Linked DNA regions of Astyanax mexicanus. The protein of the gene in region 1 interacts with the protein of each later gene in a pairwise test. Links are inferred from orthologs where the notes say so. Each region holds a gene or a part of one and is shown in the gene's direction. Other genes may lie near its edges. The genes, in order: nudt18 and dut.

Region 1 (10,659 bases):
GATAAACAAGCATATTAGCACCATGCCTAAAGCCAGACATGATCTAAAGGGGTTCAAAGATTCCCAGCACTTAGCTGTGAAGCAGTGAAACTGTGGTCGCTAAAATGATGGTGCTCTGTTATTTGGGATGAGGTAGTGTAGTGATGATCTCACTAAACACAATTACATCCCCACAGAAATGCTATAAACCTGTCCTCTGTTCATAGCTATCCTGCCGCTCTGACAGAGCTATTAGTCAGCAGTCAGAGGACCGGGGTCCTGCTGTTTTCCTGGACAGGGCAAAATCTAGATAAAGCAGCACAATGCATTGTATAAACCCTCTGAACAAATTTAAGCATTTTTCACCCCAAGCAATATACCGCTCACATACCTAAACTGCAGTAATCATGACACATGTCAAGTTCTATACGTTTCTACTCCAATTTCATCTACTTTACAGCCCACTGCTCCACTGTCCTTTACTGGAGAGCTTCACAAACTCTGGGCATGATGACCTCAGACTCGTGCCCAGCTCCCCAGAACACCCCCTATATTGGCAACACTTTTTGGCATTTTTGTCTAAACATACTGCATAAAATGACTACATAACAGTGAACTTTTCGTTTAATTAGTAAAGAAATAGGTGATGATTTGGCCCTAAAAAACATGCACAGTAAAATGGACAGTGTTAAAATCACAGTGTAAACATTTTTCAACTCTAGGAGTTTGTTTTTCTAACAACCCTCAGTAGTAAACAATCCACAGAGTTGGTGGTAGTATTCAGAGTTATTCAGTCAGCATGTGTGTGTGTTGTAGTGGTTGTCCTGATAAAGTTTTATCTACCCTCTTGGTTTTGGGTTAGATGGTGGATAAGGGTCTTCACCCAAGAGTTATTGTGTTACGGAAGAATCACTGCTTTTTTGGCAGTTCTCGTCTCTTTTATTCTAAATAAAGCTTAGATAGGATAAAAAAGGAATTTATTCTATGGTGTAGCTCACATTTTATGCTTTATATATACTGTAATGTTATGGTATATACTGTATTTTTGGGTGAAGTTCAGAAAATATACAAAAATAAATTAAAATTAACTTAAAAAAAAGAAAGTTAATATATGGCTCCATATGGTGTTGAATTAACTTTCGAAGAGTTCATTTAACACTGTCAATTTTGCTGTGTGTTCATTTAAGGGTACTTTTTTTATAAATATTTATTAATTTATTAATATTTCAGGAACAAACAATTGCAACAAAATAAATGTTACTTATTGTTTATTTAGTATAAATGTAACTGCATAGAAAATCTGTAAACCTGTAAACAACAGCAACTTACAAATACAAAATAGACTGCTTCTAAGACTCCAATACACAGCCCTGGTATATAGTTTTAAGGTGTCCTACAGGTCTGGAACAATAGAGGCAATATCCAGTGATGAACAACAGACAGCAAAGCCTGAACATGTTCTTTTTTTAAATGGCTCTGAACGCTTTAACATGACTCAGTTTCTCCACGCATTTATATATAGTGTTAAGAGTGCTGTATGCTCATTTTGTGTAAAGGATCACTGCTTGGGACAATTTTAAGGCTAAATGTGAGTAATTGAATGGTTGTGTCCTGTCATGCTGAGAGAAAATGGATAATGTAAGCAGTAAAGTGTCCCAAAGTCCCCTGCTTTCATTACCACACAGTGTGATTTACTGGCTATGGAAATGCACCAGCAGCCAGCCATCAGCCTCTTTCTCACTCTAATCCCAGACTATGTGCTGGCATTAGTACAGGAAAACAATAACCCCCACTTTGCAAACATTGTATTAAGAATGTTCAATTTCTGTCTTGTTACACACGGTTTCCCTCAGAGACGAGACTTAAGTAAGTGATGTCCAACTTTCACTTTCTGTGAACTAATCCTGCAGTTACAATCAGGATGTGCACAGCAAGTGAGAGGATGCTACAGTCTCTGCTACCGGTAGTAGTGACACTGTTAAATATTGTTAAATATTACTGTTAATTCATCACCAATCTCTGTAAACTTGGTCACATGATATGATTTCTCATGATTTTCAGATTAATCATGAGAAACATTAAGCATGTATGAATGCGTAATCTTTACTTAACAATACTAAGGGACGGAGGCAATATAACTAAACAAATACAAATATACATTTTTTTGGATTTAATGGCATTCTGTTGTTTTCTGCCGCTTTATTGTTTGTTGTTTGCACACTTTAACTTAGAGCTTCAGGCTTTTATCTTTATACCAAAAGGATCCACAAAGAGAACAACAAAGCCTAATAAACTTGCTGACAGACGCAGGATAGACTAAGAAGTTCCACTTCCCTATTCTCTGAAAAACACTGGTGATAAGGTTGTAGACCCCTGTTCATCCACCATTTCTTAAATTTCTTCTTAAATTAAGGAGTTTAATAGTGAGTTTGTCCCAGTTTGCTGCAATAACAGCCAGTATTCTTTTAGGAAGGCTTTACAATAGATCCTGAACCTCTGAGAGGATCAGTGATGTTGTTGGATGATCAGTTTTGCCACTTCATTTATACAAATAGCAATGGAAGGAGCTCCATCAGAGCAGATCACCACAAAATGCAGATCCACTGCTTCACAATGCTGATGTTGCTTGGCATATGACATGGAGAATTTCCCATTTTATTTGCAAAGCATTTAAGTAGAGCAAGTTCACGAATTAGAACACCGTCAGTATTCTTTTCGACATACAGCTCTGGAAAAAAAATAAGAGAGCACAGTTTCTGAATCAGTTTCTCTGATTTTGCTATTTATAGGTATATGTTTGAGTAAAATGAACATTGTTGTTTTATTCTATAAACTACGGACAACATTTCTCCCAAATTTCAAGTAAAAATATTGTCATTGTCAGAAAAGGAGAAATGGCTGAAATAAGACCTCCAATAATGCAAAGAAAATAAGATTATATTCATAAAGTTTTGAGAGTTCAGAAATCAATATTTGGTGGAATAACCCTGGTTTTTAATGACAGTTTTCAAGCACCTTGGCATGTTCTCCTCAACCTCTTACACACTGCTTTTGGATAACTTTATGCCACCTCTGGTGCAAAAGTTCAAGCAGTTCAGCTTGGTTTGATGGCTTGTGATCACCCATTTTCCTCTTGGTTATATTCCAGAGGTTTTTAATGTGATAAAATCAAAGAAACTTGTCATTTTAAGTGGCCTGTTAGTCTTGTTGTAAAAATAAAAAATAACACTGAGACACATTGGGTTGAATCTGTTGGTCTGGCCCTCCAAAACAGTTTCAGTGTATTTTATGGCCCCTTGGAAAAATTAATGACCACCCCTGGTCTCTCTTATATTACAACAAATTATCAATACTTTACAAAAAAATGAAATACAGGATATGTGTGTCCTTAGTCTATGTGTAGTCTCACTATGCAGACATTGAGCATTAACACACATAAGCTTTTACAGAGCACCTGTAAGCTTCTTAAACGTGTAGGTTAGATAGTTGCTATTCCTACAGTCAGAGATAGCACAAGTCTGTGTGTAGACTAGACGTGATCCTGCTTACAGTAAAAACATCTCTACCATACAAAAGACTAAATGGTCAAATATATTTAAATATATAAAAATGTACAAACAAACCTAAAAAGCAATTTTCCCAATTTGTTCTCTCTCTCTTTTTTGTCTTGGTAAAGGTATTTCCAGTCTTCAAAATGTTACTGTTAACGTAGCTAGTTAACAGTTAACTATCCTAGATATATAAAGTGTCCCAAACTTTTAGTTTAATACAAATTAAAATAACAGCTTAATATTCTTAAGTTTTTACTAAAAAATGTTTCAGAAAGATGGAACAGAAATAAAACCTCGTCATAATAACAAAAACACTGATTTCTGCAAACTGTAACAGTGTTGAGAAGGTTCAACTTCGAATGTTCCGTTCCACCTTAAAAAGCGCTATAGTAACGGTCTGGCGCCTTGACGCGAGGCTGTGTAAAACTGCTGCACTATTTAAGGTGGACCGGAAACTTGTAAAAAGCCGACATGGAGCTCCCCAGTGTTTACTGTTTACTTACCTTCGCTGCAGTCCCAAAGCTGGAAGAGCATAAACAGGACACACGCTGCCTGAATGCGAAGAGAAGACTGTAAAACAGCCATTATTTCTCCAAAATAATTCGGTGAATTGAGGATTTTTAACAGTCAGTTTCTGGTAGCTTTTCCTTATCCAGGCGTCGCCTTCCCAGCAATGGCAAAGAGCCCGCTGGACTCCACATAACGCTCCTATCAGGAGGTAAAAAATTAAAACAGCCGTAAAGAACTTCAGCTACCTGCTCATTTTCATCTCCGCTCTGCCTCTTTCAGTTAAAGCTTGCTGAGATAAGCATGTTCCTCCACACAGGCGACTGTTTTCAAAGTAATCCTCTCAGAAATGGGACTGCTGGCTTATCCGACAGAAAGCTTGTAGACTCATGAGGGTCGGACGTGAATTTGCAATGAAGCCCAGACCGACGACAGAGGTCGACAATGGGAACATCTCATTTAACAATGCCCTCTACACAAAGTGGCTCCCTACGCCCTAATCCCTACTCTCAGTACTGAGTGAATGTGTGGTTTTAAAATACAGTTATGAAAAAAAAAGAGACCACTTCAGTTTCTAAATCCGCTATTTATAGGTATATATCTGAGTAAAATTAACATTGTTGTTTGATTCTACAAAACTATGCACAACATTTCCCCCAAATTCCAAATAAAAATATTGTAATTTAGAGCATTTATTTGCAAAACATAAGAAATGGCTGAAATAACAAAAAAGATGCAGAGCTTTTTGACCTCAAATAATGCAAAGAAAATAAACTTATACTCATATTCAAGCTTTAAGAGTTCAGAAATCAATATTTGGTAGAATAACCCTTGTTTTTTCCACCAGTCTTATACACTGCCTTTGGATGACTTTATTCCACTCCTGGTGCAAATATTCAAGCAGTTTGATGGCTTTTGATCATTCACCTTCCTCTTGATTATATTCCAGAGGTTTACAATTTGGTAAAATCAAAGAAATGTATCATTTTTAAGTGGCCTCTTTTTTATTTACAGAGCTGTTTGTAAATATCACGATGCTTACTGTATTGCAATATATTAAATCATAACTGCAATGACACCTATTGTATCTCTAGGTTTTTGCTAATACACAGTCATAAAGATTATTGTACATGAATACCACCAAAATTTTCTAATTTTCCAGTGAAAAACAGGGATTTTTTTCTCAGTACCTTTAAGAGTTAGGGCTGTTTCAATAACAGCAACTGCAATATGCTACTGATACTTCTACTGGATACTTTGCTGTTTATAAGTTTGTTTTGATTACATTAACTGAACATACTTGTTTTTTGTTGGTAAAAGAAAAACACAGATACATAAAAGAAAAAAAAACAATATATAGGATGTTTGTGTTACCTAAACTACTTGTAAAGAAATCATGTCGTAAATTTATGAGCTCAAAAGATGTAAGAACCAAGCTTCCTAAGTGAACCTGAATGCAACATTAGACTGTTACTAATATTTATACTTAACAGTTCATGGATTTTCATGGGCAATCAAATACCTGACTGGCTGATAATTATGTGATTGCATGGAATTGGACATTAATGTAGAAAATACAGCTTAGGCTAACTTTTGAGGGTGACTGACTTCAGATGATCATTGGTTGAATATTTGCTGGTTCTTCGTCAAACAGATATTTAGCTGGACCAGGCAAAAATATCACTGGTTTAAATATGTTCAGGTAGTTGAGCAGTTGAATTCCACTACTGTAGCCAACAATAACTGGAACATCATTTAGGTGGTCTACCATGTGTCCACAAGGACACTACACCAATAACTTCACATTTACCTATCAATGTAAATGCATCAAATAAGGCTCTAAATGTATCAGAAGCTGCAAATAAGGATCCAACTACACTCCCATACAGTGTAAATGTAAGTTTCTCTAAATAAGAGTGTCTGTCAAATCCTTTAAGGTATTATCAGTTACACTTTTACTTCAGCTTGTTAACTATCTAGGGAACTACACGCCAATTTGACATGCACCCATCGGTGTCCCTAACATTTTTTTTTACTTCTCTAACGCAGTTTTGGTACAAAACTCCTGGGCTCGTTAAGTATAAGTACAGATAAATGCATTTTAACCCATGTCCACAAGCGTTATAGTTAACGCTACAGTTGTGTTTGCGTTTCTGCGGTAAGATCTCGAAAAGCTAGTATGACTAGGTTTCTTCGCCCCAGTTTGTTTGGGAAAGTAGGGGTGTACTCAAAACTATGTAAAATTGCATCTAGCGGTTCGATATTAGATCCGTCTTATAACTTTGCTAAAGCGTTGTTTCTGTTTAGCAACAGTAGTTAATCTCTATTATCAGTATTATTTTCCGATATTGAGTACGTATTTTTATCCCAAAATGAAAATAAGTCATAAAGTATGTGCGTTGTTTAAAACAAGTTGGTCATTTAACCCCGGTCCCTTACTCTTACAGCCAATAGCATTGCAGCTAGCAGCGCTTTGCGTACAGGCAGGCTTGTTGTGGGTACGTATACACAGCTATGCGCATTTCGCTTTTTATGGTTAACATTTTGATAACAATTTGCTGATATAACTTTTAATTCGTAATAAAAGCGATATAACATATATTTTATGCTCTTGTTTTTTTTATCGGCGAGCAGAACTGGCCGGTGGTTGAGGCATTAGCTCAGCACGGCGCTGAACCAAAGTGAAACTGAATTGGCTGTAGTTGGCGGTGTCCCAATCAGCAATATGGGCTCTGAGGGACTTGAAGAAGAAACCGTGGAGAAGATCCTGAACGGTGAAGGACTGGAGGTCACAGAATATGACTGGACCCCCGAGGAGCCGAAGCCTGTCACCCTTAGGTCGAATGTTTGTTATATTGTTGCTGCAGTCATCTTCAATGCCAAGGTAATGTGGGCTCATTCTTTAGGATGTAGATGTTAAAGTATGTTTTAATACATGAAATCCCCTAAAATAAGAGTGGTGTAGAACCTACATCCATATTTCCAATACAGGGGGTTCTAAACTGTGGCATGCCAGATAACCTTAGAAAATACATTATTTTGTGTTCAGTACTAAACTAGTTCAGCAGCCCACACTTCAGTTCTTCGGCCTTGTACGTCCTTAACTAGCTACAGTTAAAACATGATTAACATCAGTTTAATAGGCCCTGGGCTTGATGCCATTTGCTAGTAGCAACTCTTCTAAATTTAACTTTATTTAACTATATTATTTAACTTTTAACTTATTTTCTTATCTTATGTTTTTTCAACATTAAATCTAATGACAACTCACGATAAAATAATCACTATATATGCATGCACAGTTTTTTTCTAAAATATACAAAGCCATTTTTATCTTAGACCCAAACCTGAAATTGATAACATTTATTATCATGCAATTTATTAAACAAATGTGTAAATGTGTCCTGTTACTCTTTATATAAGTTAAATGACCGAAAGTAACAAGACTTAATAGTAAAAAGTATTTTACAGTTATTTTTTGTGCACATTTCTACATGTAATTTACTGGGGATGCAAATAGCACAGATTCTGCAGAATATACAGTAGAACCCTTTGGAACTCCACCGGCTATGCTAAACAAACCATTTCCAAGTAATGCACATTAGTTTCAGCATTAGGATTACTAGCTAATTATATAACATTGGTTAATTAAGTAGACACTCTAGTTCACAATATGGCACTCCTGATATTTTCCTTTGTGTCATGCTTTATAGAATAAGTGTATTGACCAGAAACACAAAAAATTTCGCCCTGCTAGCTTAAAAAATTATAAAGTGTGCAAGCTCCAAATAATTTGTGAAAAACACTGGCAAATGTGTTCCTGTGTAATTAGTTGCAGGTAGTAGGAGATGGCAAATCCCTAAAAACTAAAAACTAGTGTTATACATAGGGCCCATTTCCTTCTCCTATACTCTACTATCCCACTCAAATTTAACTACATGGCACTAACAAGGTCCTACACCTAAAAGCAACAATTAAATTACAAATGAAGACTTCATCTCACCCACAATCTCATCCTCAAATGGTCACATTGAGGTCACTCTGTCCATTTGCTGTCCAAGAAGAACACAGGTTTGATAAATCTGGCCTCAGATTAGATTAGAGTTACAGATCTCATAGTCCTCAAAAGCATCCAGATGGTACACATTTGGCCCAGTCTTTGATTAAAACAATCTATAATGCACTCTAAAGAAGGCTCTACATATAACTGTGTGTGTTAATGGGTTGTAGGGGGAGGTGCTGATGGTGCAGGAGGCGAAGAAGGATTGCTATGGGCAGTGGTACCTTCCCGCAGGCCGCATGGAACCGGGGGAGAGTATTGAGGAGGCTGTGCAGAGGGAGGTGAAAGAGGAGGCTGGAGTGGACTGTCAGCCGGTCACCATGCTGCAGGTGCAGGAAAGCGGCCCGCAGTGGATCCGCTTCACCTTCCTCGCTGAGATCACAGGTCAGGATGGTGTGAATCATGGTACCAGTACTAGAGAGGGTCTCTGATCTAGCTGAATATCTTTGGTCTATGATAGGTGTGGATCAGCGAGCAAATGATGATGATGATGACGATATTAGTTGGTAGGTTGTACATGTTGATTATTGTAATGGTAGTTAAAACAAAATTTCTAATAAGTTATAATATTATTATTCTATTATGGCAGATATCCCATTATTATGTCAAAAATCAGTACATGTTCCAGAGGTGGGAAATCAAAAAACCTTTAAAGGGTTTTTTCTTCCAACATTCATGTCAAAAGCCAGCTGACATTGTTTATAATGAGTTGGCTATTAATCCTTTATTAGCTTTTCAATTATTGTTAACCTAATAGTAATAAGCAATTTGAATTACTCTTCCGCATGTAAACATAATGCTTTGAGCCCTTAAATGGTGAGTTTAACTGTAGAATTGTGGAAATTAACAACCTCTAGGCTTAAAATACTGTACGTCTAGTGTCTAAACATTTAAAATACTTTTTATTCAGTACTACTTTTCTTTTAAATTAATCACAGTGGTATTTGGTAAGTGGAAGGGGACAAGTGGCGAAAACAGTGTGGTGTCTGGCAAGTCTTTACGAGAGTTTTTTCTGGCCACAACAGTTTTTGTTGGTTACCTGAGCAACAGTAGCGTTGCTAATGCTTCTACTTTGCTAGAGTGATTGCTAATGTGGAGAAACAGAACAGCAACCTCAGCCTCTATCTGCATATTCATGCATGGTTAAACCAAAGAAAGATGATAAAACCACTGCATTCTTCTGCTATGAAATGCACATTTTAAAAGTACTCTTATGTATGCTCAGTGCAATTGCACTTTCTCAACAAAAAATTACGGACTGAAAGTGTTTGTACATTGACTTACCATGAATGTTGGGTAGGATTTGTCCTTCTCCTGTGAAGTTGCTGTTTGGTATTTAAGGTTATTGATTGGCGCTGATGAAATACATTGCTATATACAATGAAGCTACAGTCTGTTGATCGAATGATTGATTGGTCTTTCCAATTCGAACCCCTGGGTATAAGGTTTCATTATGTTTCATATCTCTATAATACACAACTACTGAATTAAATTCATGCTAAATAACTGTTTGGGATGATTCTTGGCTGATTTTTGATTTTGTCCCGGTGTGGTCAGATCCTTTTATTCACACCAGTCCTACTGTCTCTCCTCCATCAGGTGGCAGTCTGAAGACAAGGGCTGAAGCAGATTCTGAGTCTCTGCAGGCTCAGTGGTGGGATCGAGAGGCACATCTTCCTCTTCGTGCCTGGGACATCCTGACCCTTATAGAGGCCGGCCTCAAGTACCACCAGAAGCCGTGGTTCCCAGTGTGTCTGCCCACTGACCTGCCCTGTGAAGTGGTCTGTCAGAGAATACTTCTGGTCTTTGCCCCCAGTGACCCTGACAATGAAGAGAATGTATGGTTGCTGCTGTGCAATGGTTCTGCTGACAGTGATGCTGAGACACACCCTCACCTTCCTGTTTCACTAGCAGTGAAAAAACACACAGTCACATGGGCAGGCCGCAGATTGCTCCAGGAGTGCATGGTCCCTTGTGAAGCCTTGCATGTCGACATCAGCGGGATCCTGAGCGTGCAGCATAATGGGAGGGTTCATGGCAAAACAGACGGGCTCTGTTTGAACACACTAGTGACGGTGGAATATATAGAAGGGTTTCCAGGAGATCATCAAAGTCCACCACCACTGGAGAATAAGAGATATAAATGGCATAAGGTGATCAATCAAAGGCTGAGGACAAAGATACTGCAGAGAATAAAATATAACTCCCTTCTACCTTTATACAGCCTTCGATGATGGGATGGACTGAGATCTTCTGACTGTAAAGCATGGTTGGACATGGCCTCCGATGTTAGTTTAAGATGTTTTTGGGAATAGCTGTTGCAGAACGACACCTTATTATCTAAGCCATTTACACCATTCATCTGACCAAACTAATGAGCAATAGACTGCATATTGATTTCAGAGTTCTATATTATCGGAGTTTATAGTGGATAATGGGATAAGGACATTTTAGAAATGTTGAAGACTTCTTTGCTGATTTCAAAAAAATCCATCACTGCTTTAGAATTGTATAAAAAAAAAAACAATGAAATCACAGTTTTTATGAAAAAATATTTATGTA
Region 2 (10,485 bases), on another chromosome or scaffold:
AAGCACATTGTCTCCTCTGTCTGGCGAGCAGTGTGGCGTGGGAGCAAAAAAGTAAATATAGTGAGAAGATTCTGTGTTACAGCGCATAGATCTGTGCAGTTCAAAGCTGCTTTAACACAGAACACAGTGTTTTTTTTTTTTTATGGGAGTGCAGTGCGGTAAGCAGTGAACGCATCATAGATTTGGCGTGAAAACAGCACGGAGCAGCAGAGACAGCGTTTGTTCAAAGTTGTGGTAATTAGAATGATCTAGCTAATGCATCATATTAATCTGCGCCTTACCAGCAGTTAAGCTCAAATAAATATAAATAAGAGTATATTTGATAGCTGAGTTGGATTGAGACCGGATCTGTCATGGTAGGGGTGTGGGAGGAGCCAAGTGCAGCGATATAACGAAAAGGGGTTTTACTATAATTGTGTGTGCATAAAAGAAAAAGGGGAAAATAATTTCGGCGCAACAAAGCTAACTAAATAATGCCTCCGTTTGAAATAAAAGAAAGACAGAAATAGAAACAGAAATCAAGAAAATAAAAATATTTTCTTTTCTCCTCAGCCTTGCAGGCGTTCCCTTATCTTTTCTTTCTTGCCTGGCAAGCTTTCTTTTATTTTCTGTTCTCTTATTTTGTTTTCTTTTCTTCCTTTTCTTTCTTTCCTTTTTCAGCCTTGCAAGCTTCCTCTTATTAATTAATTTATTTATTGCTTCTTTTCAGCTTTGCAAGCTTTCTTTTATTTCTTTTCAGCCTTGCAGGCTTTCTTCTTTTATATATTTATTTATTCTTTCTTTTCAGCTTTGCAAGCTTTCTTTTATTTCTTTTCTTTTCAGCCTTGCAGGCTTTCTTTTATTTTTTCTTTCTTTCTTTACAGCCTCACAGGCTTTCCTTTATTTTTTATTTATTCTTTATATATTTTTTTTCTTTTCAGCTTTGCAAGCTTCCTTTTTTTCTCTCTCTCTCAGCTCTGCAAGCTCTCTTTGATTTCTTTTCTTTTCAACCTTGCAAGCTTTCTTTTATTTTTTCTTTTCAGCTCTGCTCCGTGGAGCTACCGTTCACCGGTCACAGGGCATGAAGTCTGCGACATCAGTCTGCTGGAAGCTCGCCTTTTTAAAGACGGTACCACAGCTGAGGCTGATGACACGTTATTGGCTTCAGGTGGCCTTAATGATCCCTGTTCTAATGAACTCTCAGCCGGTTCCCTTCTTACCACCTTGGTGCGTTTATGGCGGCCTCTGGTGGCCGCTGCGGGAACTGGCTGAGCCCTAACAAGATCACGTTCTCAGCACAAGTGAACACAAGCTCCAGAGTTTGTTTAGGACCGGAGATAGAGCAACTCCTCTAGTAGATCTCTCTCTGGTTGTTTTGATCCAAACCAGAGTGTGATTACTGTTTTCACACCTGCTCAATCGAACCGAACCGTTTCAACCAGACCAAATAGTGCTTGTGTGAAAATGCCCTTTCACTTTGACTTCTAAAGAAATGTCTTGAAGAAACGTCTTATGTGCACTGACACACCAAGGTTATAATAGTTTAGAATTTTTAATTATAGTTTATATTTTATTTCGTTTTGACTTTCTCCCCTTCCCAGTTATTTTTAGTTTTTTTTATAGCAGGTTTGCTAATTTTTATTACTATTTATTTTTTATGCATTTTTTATGTTTTCATTAGTTTTAGTATTAGTTTTTTTTTTTATATCTAGGGTTAATTTTGAGATGCAGGATTCAAAAAGGTATCATGTAATACCTTTTATTTACACATTACAGTTGAATAGCCAGCAGTCCACAAGATATCAGCCTTAAAGCAACATGTAAAACTGCTGCTTAAAATAGCCAATAGAATACACATGAACATGAAACACACACCACACCAAAGAGCTCAATCTGAGAAATACATACACTCAGAAACACAATAAACTCTACAGGGTTCACTCATTTTGACCAAAATTACCAACTCAAAAATAATACTGGTAAAGCTTTTTACCATATCAGAACAGCAGAGCTAACTATACTATACCTCACATGTTTATATAACATCAGAACGTAAACACAGTGATCTCAGCTGTCTGAAATACACTTCTTTTAGAGAGTATGTGTGTGTGTGTGTGTGTGTGTGTGTGTGTGTGTGTGTGTGTGTGTGAGTGAAATATGAGATATTAAAACGCCCAATATGTTAACTTACTTACTGTGGCAGATGAACACGGACCTCTGGCGCTGTTTACAAACCATCACTGATTGGTGGAAACTTCACTCTAAACCTCAAGCAGTTTGGACTGTGTGTCTCTCCACTCTTCCTCCAGACTCTGATCCCTTGATTTACAAATGAAATGTAACATTTACTGATGATCAGTGATGGTTTGGAGAGACATGTCTGTCATCTGCTGGTGTTGATCCACTGTGTTTTATTATCAAGTCTAAAGTCAGTGCAGTTTTGTTTTCCCACAAAATCTTACAGCACGTCATGCTTCCCTCTGCTACTGACAACTTTTATATAGTTGCGGATTTCATTTTCCAGCAGGACTTGGCACACTGCCTGCACTGAAAAAAGTACCAATTGGTCTTATATAATATTCTGATTTTCTAAAACACTTATTTTTGGGTTTTTATTAATATTATAATTAATAATAATCAATAAAATAAATAAATGCTTAAAACAGATCACTCTGTGTTTAATACATCTATATAATATATTTGAACTGAAATACTGAAATAAAGTAACTTTTTAATTATATATTTATTTTTTTAGATGTACATATATCATTATTTGGTGGAATAACCCTGGTTTTTAGTAACAGTTTTCATGCATCTTGGCATGTTCTCCTCCACCAGTCTTACACACTGCTTTTGGATAACTTTATGCCTGGTGCACAATTTCAAGCAGTTTATATTGATTATATTCCAGAGGTTTTTAATTTCAAGTATTTCTTCGGGGGATCAAGTATGTCTAAAGCACATAAAATATAAACCCTGTACATCAGCTAATGTAGCACTTATATACCACACAATAACCTTTATTGTCATAAATAATATATTATACAGCAAAATCCACAGTTAATCCTGCAAAACCACAAAGACACAATGCTACTGGCTGCTCTCTTTTATAAGCTTTCTTACCATTACATTTTAATTTATATTTTACTGAATCTCTCCCACAGGAATAATTTATTATTTAATTCTAAACAAATAGAAAATAAAAATGTAACTGAAAATCCCTGTAGAAAAGGCGTTTGTCCCTCATCTCATCCACATATTTTGACACTGGAACTACAATATTAAATGTTAAGGGGAGATATGTAGGAATGCATTTATACAGCTCGGCTAAAGCCTTTTAAAAAAGCTTAGCTATTGTTACTTTTTTAAAGTAGCTGAATAAAAAGAAAATAAAGAAAATAAGTCTTACCTTAAAAACGTGTAATACACCAGCTTTTGGTTTCTTATTCACATTTACCTTCCACCTTAAAACACATTTCAATTCTACCTTAACAGTTTCCCTGCATTAAAACACATTTTCTCTACGTTAAAACACAGTTTCCTCTTTAGACTGTAGTAGATGATAAAGTATTTTAAGAGTTTTACACGTTCAAATAAAACAGAACGTGGATTCCCATTTAAATCTTCTGTTCCACCTTAAAAACGCCAAAAATACCATCTACAGCCTGAAGCCTGAGTGCCGCGACAGCAGCATTTAAGGTGGGATGGTAAATTAGCAGCATTTAAGGTGAGATAGCTCATTCATGTGAGTTATTTATGTAGGGAAAAGTGTGTTTAAAGTGCTTATTTAAGAAAGAAAAGTAGATAGAAGCTACTTACACGTAATGCTGTAGCTTGAGCAGCGTGTGTACCACCTTAACTTAGACTCAATTAGCCACCTGAGCATTAAAGAGGCAGCAGCAGGTAAAGGAGAGGAATGATTATTATTAAGATGGAATGGTATGATCCACTTTAGGGGGGCTTTGAATTGTATCAGGCATAGATACTGCATTGTGTTGTAGTCTTTAACATTATATGTAAGAGATTTATTTAAATGTGTTGACCCCCCAAAGCTATTTTTTGCTTGTTTTTTAATAAAGGAAACAGTAGTTCTTTGCAGACGAGAAGGGTATAGCTGCAGCCTCGGAGACTGCTATTTTCGGGACCGCAGTTCTAGGACCCTAAATTTAATGTATTCAATTATTTAGATGTTTTGAATAAGACGTTTTTTTTTTGTTTTGTTTTTTTTACAATTAATAACATTTTGTGCGTGTTTGTATTTTAATAGTTGAATTTGGCTGGATTCTGTCAGAAACCTGTAAAGAAATCATTGGGATTTAAACCTTTTTACACATTTCCTTACCTATAATACTGAAATACAAGTAGGTTATGTTTGTACCATCTTTAATATAAAGCTGCATGAAGGGGGCTGCTTACTATTCTTAAAAAATAAAAATAAAGAAATAAAATTAAATTTAAACGGAACAATAGTTTTACCTCATTTCAAATGGTGCTGTCTGTTTACAAATAAAAAAATATGTATAAGAACTGAAAATTGTAAATCGTAATCAGAATTGAGAATTCCTTATATATTTGTAGAATATTAAGGGTTTTTTTTACAATATCACCCAGCTCTAATAGACACTAGAGTAGTTTGAAGTTCCAAAAAGATTTCGATTATAGCCCTATGTCTTCTTTGTGTCTCTGATATGTGGTTGGGAGTTCTAAGACAAAGTAATATTTGGGTGAAATAAGCCTTTAAATCTGTAGTTAGCTGAAGTGGTAATATTTGGGTGAAAAGTGATGATATTATATGAAGGAGTAGTAAATCATTAATTTTGCTAGGTGACAGTGTCGTGAAAACAAATGGTCCTAGAACAGCGGTCCTGAAACTGCAGTCTCCGAGGCTGCAGCTATATACTATTGGGCTGCGTCCAGAAACCCCAAAAGTGTCTCCTTTTTCCTACCGATCCTCCTCCTCTCCTCCGTGACCCGGAAACTGATTTCGTGACGCCATCTTGCCGCCTGTCCGAATACCGTAGGAGATGAAAGAAGCCGCTTAAAATCAACCTGTAGTAGGCTTCCAACGGAGGGTACATCAGTGTATCCTAAGACTTTTAAGGATTTTCCAATGACATCACTGAATCCACGCCCACAGAGCACGCGAAAATGGAGAAGGCAACGCCCAAATATACGTCATAAACATATTAATTAACTAGGTTCCTTATCTAATTAAACAGCCAGTAAAGCAGTAATATAATTTATAGTTTAGATAAACTGTATGCTCAGTAAAACTATATTTATGACCCTATGTGTATCATGTTATACATACAAAAACATATATATATATATATATATATATATATATATATTTTTTTTTTTTTTTTTTTTTTTTAATTAATTCATTTATTTACTTATTTATTTTAACTTAGGGACTGATGTGGAAACTGAAACCCTCATAAGGCTGAGGTCAGACAGGGCTGCCAGAGTCACTGGTCAGAGATGCGGCTGGGAGTAAAGAGGATTTTATTGGAATATTTGAATTTTTAGCTGTGTGAGATAGTAATGTTCTGAAACGTGCTGAAAGTGTGCGTTGTGATTGGTTCACTTTAACGGTAGTCAACATCCTATCTAAAAGGGATCAGCTTCCCTCCATTCCTCCTCCTGCTCTCCTCTCCTCGATTCCTCCACCTTCTTCCGGGGTAGGAGAGGAGGAGTAGGAAAGGAAGAGTAGGAGAGGAGGAGTAGCAAAAGTTTCTGGACGTAGCCTTGGTTGCAGACAGCAGCAACTGGGATAAATGCAGACAGGGGGCAGTAGAGTTAAGTTTTTGTCCATTTGACTGGAGCAGAAGAAGCGGAGCGGATAAACATAAATATTCAGAAACGCGTGCTGTCTGCAGGAGAGATCGGAGGATTAGTAAACTGTAACTGAGACTTTAACTCAGTCTGGAAACGTCTGCCGCTGGATCAGACCTGGGGAATATAACCTACAGACACAGCGAGAGAGAAACACACAGACACCTGTCTGTCTGTCTGACAGTCAGTGTGACCAGAGCTCTGATGGAGTGATCTGGGATCAGGAGGCAGGAGACAGCAAGGACAGCAAGGACAGCAGTGGGACAGTAAACCCTGGAGACAGTATGATTCCCCTGTTTTCAATGAGAGCTGCTGCCTCAACACGGAGACATTATCATTATTTATGGAGCTCATGTTCTTCACACTCCTCCTCTCACACAGGGACAGGTAACTGAATTTAATCATGTTGTTGTTGTTCCTTTTGCAAATATCATTATATTTTTATATTACATGAGCTAGACTGTTAGAGAACCACAAAACCGGTGTTGTGTCGATTTGTGCTACCCTGATAAACCCTGCTGCAGTAGTGTAGCTAGCTATGTTTACTGATAAATGTTCCTAACGTAGAATAAAAGCATCAGATCTGAATTTGAACCGACATATTTTTCTACCACTCAAACAAATTATATAAATATAATCTTAGCTCATAATCAACCCAATGAATTAATATAAACACTTTAAAACATATAACGTTAAACGTGATAAAAAATCGACAGTACACGTGCAGGTAAATGTAGATACAGTTTTTTTTTTTGTTACGAAAAGATGCGACACAGTTATACAGTGTGAACAGTCGCTCAGATTATGAGCTAAAGTATAAAATGCGTAAAGTTCTGTGGTTTAATCTTAGATTTTATCTCCATAAATTAGCCTGCTGCTGTGCATTATGGGTGATACCACAGAAAAAGAGAGAAGAGTGCCCACTTTTCAGAATCTCTTCCAGGTTTGTGTCACAAATAGAGTGCGCTCCGCACCAAAATGAATGAGTTTAAGTGCAACAGAGTTTATTAATGTTTAATAATTTATATAATATACTATAAAATAATATAATATATGTACACATTTTTTGTTTATTTTTAACATGATATGGGCTTCCTGCTCATGAACCTCATAAAAACAGGAATTAAAAAAATAATAATACTGTGGAGAAATCAGCTCAAACTAACTTCAGTTTTCTCACCTGTCTTCCACCAAACTGTTGGCCTTTGATTCCTAAATTTAAGGCACGCTTTACTTTCATCAAAAAAGAGGACCTTGGACCACTGGTCAACAGTCCAGCCCTTCTTCCCCTTTGCCCAGTTGAGATGCTGCTTATGTTGTCTCACGTTTAGAAGTGGCTTGACCCGAGGAACCTGACAGCTGTAGTCCATCTCCCGAATGCGTCTGAATGTGGTGTTTTTTAAAGCTGGGACTCCTGCCTCATTTCACTCTTTCTGGATCTTTGTCAGATTCTTGAATCTTCTCTTTCTGATAATCTGCTGAAGCCTTGGTCATCTCTTTAGCTGGTGCATCTTCTCTTGCCACATGTTGTCCTTTGATATGCTTGGACACAGCACTCTGTAAACAGCCAGCCTCCTTTGCCATGAACTTTTGTGGCTTACCCATCCTGTGAAGGGTATTAATGATGGTCTTCCGGCCAGTTGTTATGTCTGCAGTTTGCAGACAATTGAACCAAACTGAAGCAATTTAATAACACCTGGGGAAACCTGTGCAGGTGCTTTGAGTTTAGTAGGTGATTAGTGTGTCACACTCATTTTAAAACATTCATGCCCTGCAAAATTTGGGCTGATTTCTTTACTATATTCAATTTTTTTGAATTCATGTTTTTTAGGGGTTTTATGAGCTGGAAGCCCAAATTATTTAAAAATAAAGAAACAAATATTTGATATTTGAAATCTTTTAAATTGTGGGCCCTAAATCTATAATATATGAAATCTATGAAAGTTTAACTTGTTGAATATTTTGATATTCTATTTTTTAATTATTTTATTATTTTTTTATATGTATGTATGTATGTATGTATGTATGTGTATGCACATTTTCTTTGCTTATTTTTTAGCAAAATACATTAAGTTTTTTCATGCATATTTTTGTGTGTTTTTAGCCGTGTTACTCCATTTGCCTCCATTAATTTTGCACTCTCTTGCGGACTCCCTCTAGCGGCTCGCGGTCATTTTTTTTCCATACAGAAAGTGGGCAGTCTCTTCATAAACCCGCTCTGGTGTTGCGTAATAGACGAATGCTCGAGCTTGATTGGCTGAACCTGAGCGCGAGCGGGGTCTTAAACACGTTCAAGGGTCTAGCGGGAATTACAAACCGCCGGAAAAACTAAAAGCAGCAACAGAAGAAGCTCCTCGCGCTGCGCGGTTTATTTATTAAGTGTCGCTGGTTTTAATGCTGTAGTTTAGATTAATATTATTATTTTATTTTAACACGCGCTCTCTCGCTCCGCTGTAACAGAGAAGATGCCCTGCTCTGATGGAACCGAGGCCTCCGCCGCCGCCGTCTCTCCGGCGAAGAAGAGCCGGATCGAGGAGGGGGTGCTGAGATTCGCCAAGCTGACCGAAAACGCCACAACCCCCACCCGCGGCTCCAGCAAAGCGGCGGGCTACGACCTGTACAGGTAACTAAACACACACCGACAGAGAGAGAAGAAAACACGGGTTTAATAGGGTTTTATTAACTGTTTGTTTATCTACTCTCCGAAATACTGGAGCGGAAACGCTGCTACTCTAGCTAACAGTCTGATAGTGTTGTCATAGCGACACATGGTTTTGTACAAACGCTAAAATTAAGATTAAAAGTGTTTTTAGAGATAATTTTGGGTTAAAAAACGTTAATAATAAAAATCATAACAGCGCTGTTTGGCGCTGTTGCTTTTATTGTTGTAAAATGAAGCCCAGTATTTGGCGGGAATTTTTGGGCCCTATTTTACCCAATCCTATTCATTGTTCTGTAGGTAGAAGTATAGATAAAGTTACTGGTGTTTAAAATAACGTTAACTTACTTCTGTAGAAGTTAAACAAGCGTCAACTCAAGCTTTTAACTCCAGTAAAAGTAAGAGTTAAAGTACTGCTTTCATAACTACTTAAAGTATAAAAGTAACGTAAGGTGGAAAACGTGCCGTTAAGGACAATCATGAGGAGAAGCTGAAATGAAAACGAGCTGACATGAAATTGGAGTAACGAGGCTATTTTTAAAATATTTTAAAATTTAAAAGGAGAAGAAAGTTTTAGATAATTGTGTGAAAATGTAAGAAGTAGAAGTTACAAGTTTACTGTAAAAAATAATCCTGTAAAGTATAGAAAACCAACATTTTTCTAATTTAAAGTAACAGTATTTCTACTTCATTACTTGACATGATTTTACCTTATTTTAGTTCACTTTCCATTATAATTGTGCACTAATGTGGGCTGATTTGTCTTCTAAAGGAACAAGCTAACACTTAACTACACTACACTACACTGATGTGATGTTTTGGATTAGTCAGACACTCTGGCAGAGCTACAGAAACAGGTTTATCTGATTAATCTGTATCATTTAAACTGTATGCAGAACTATCAGACTTTTCATGAATTTCACACTGATTATTTGTGTTTCAGTGCGTATGATTACTCCATTGGACCTATGGATAAAGCTATTGTAAAGACAGATATTCAGATTGCTGTACCACATGGCTGCTACGGCAGAGTCGGTGAGTTGATGCCTTTTTTATTAATGTTTTTGCACCTTGAATACATAAGTTCTGGTAATGTACGTCTCGTTTTAAAGCAAGGCTGGGATGTTTATCATTACAGAATAACATTTTAGCTATTAATTTTTTAAAAATTCATATACATTAAGTTATATGTAGTTTAGGCTCTCCTGGAAAAGAACATATGGCCTTAACTCATGTAAATTGTTTGTAATTTTCTGATAAGTCTACATGATCTACATCAAAAGAATTCTAATAAACCATTAATCACCTTACAGGGCACTGCATGTCAGGTCACTGCATTCAAGCTAAGCACAAAATAATACTAATCCACTGTTCATCCTGTAGGGATGGGATGATGAGGATCTATAGTAAAAGCATGATCTTTCAGACCTCGTTACAGTATTTTTCTGCACATAAAATTAACAATTATTTATTTTTTAACACACGAATGATATGTGAACTTGGGTCAGTGTTTAGGGACAGTTTATCCTCCATATGCTTGTTATAATAATAATTTAATACAGAATGATTAAATATTTGTTGTTCAGCACTAGTCGGGCATTAATCTGATTTTCAACTTTGCAACCAGCTGATCTCAAAATGGTGTGAGATAAACCTCACCAGAATGTCTGTATGCAAATCTGAAAACTGACAGGTTTTAGGTTTTCATGCCTTAATTTGGGGAACCATAGTACGTTTGATCCTTTTTAATCAAAAGATTTGATAGGAACAATTGAAAGAGTTAAAATCCAGAAATTATCCAACATATTGACCCCTGCATGTTTGCAATGTTGATGATTTTAATCTTTCTTTTTTGCTTTTTTCCAATCTAAGCTCCTCGTTCTGGTCTGGCAGCTAAGCACTTCATTGATGTTGGTGGTAAGTTACTAGTTCTGCATGATTTGAGTAACTTTTTACAGGTTTAGGTCTTTCTCTTTTGGGTGGTGCTCAGTAAACTGGTTGCTTGTTAAAAT

The links.
Region 2: the proteins of nudt18 (region 1) and dut interact in binary tests that used the Homo sapiens proteins (3 or more experiments, as listed by UniProt). The two-hybrid records come from large-scale screens. The link is inferred for Astyanax mexicanus from reciprocal best matches to the Homo sapiens genes NUDT18 and DUT.

What each region holds. Positions count from the first base shown.
Region 1 is NC_064419.1:30,330,178-30,340,836, reverse strand, and holds the start of nudt18 (8-oxo-dGDP phosphatase NUDT18), read left to right. Parts: upstream 1-6,317; 5' UTR 6,318-6,535; intron 6,536-6,671; 5' UTR 6,672-6,762; coding exon 6,763-6,921; intron 6,922-8,267; coding exon 8,268-8,481; intron 8,482-9,696; coding exon 9,697-10,331; 3' UTR 10,332-10,659. Other genes in the region: adam9 (disintegrin and metalloproteinase domain-containing protein 9), read right to left, coding at 4,034-4,115. UniProt on the Homo sapiens protein: Mediates the hydrolysis of oxidized nucleoside diphosphate derivatives. Hydrolyzes 8-oxo-7,8-dihydroguanine (8-oxo-Gua)-containing deoxyribo- and ribonucleoside diphosphates to the monophosphates. Hydrolyzes 8-oxo-dGDP and 8-oxo-GDP with the same efficiencies.
Region 2 is NC_064416.1:43,817,863-43,828,347, forward strand, and holds the start of dut (deoxyuridine 5'-triphosphate nucleotidohydrolase, mitochondrial), read left to right. Parts: upstream 1-5,804; 5' UTR 5,805-6,098; coding exon 6,099-6,201; intron 6,202-8,274; coding exon 8,275-8,437; intron 8,438-9,416; coding exon 9,417-9,508; intron 9,509-10,345; coding exon 10,346-10,390; intron 10,391-10,485. UniProt on the Homo sapiens protein: Catalyzes the cleavage of 2'-deoxyuridine 5'-triphosphate (dUTP) into 2'-deoxyuridine 5'-monophosphate (dUMP) and inorganic pyrophosphate and through its action efficiently prevents uracil misincorporation into DNA and at the same time provides dUMP, the substrate for de novo thymidylate biosynthesis.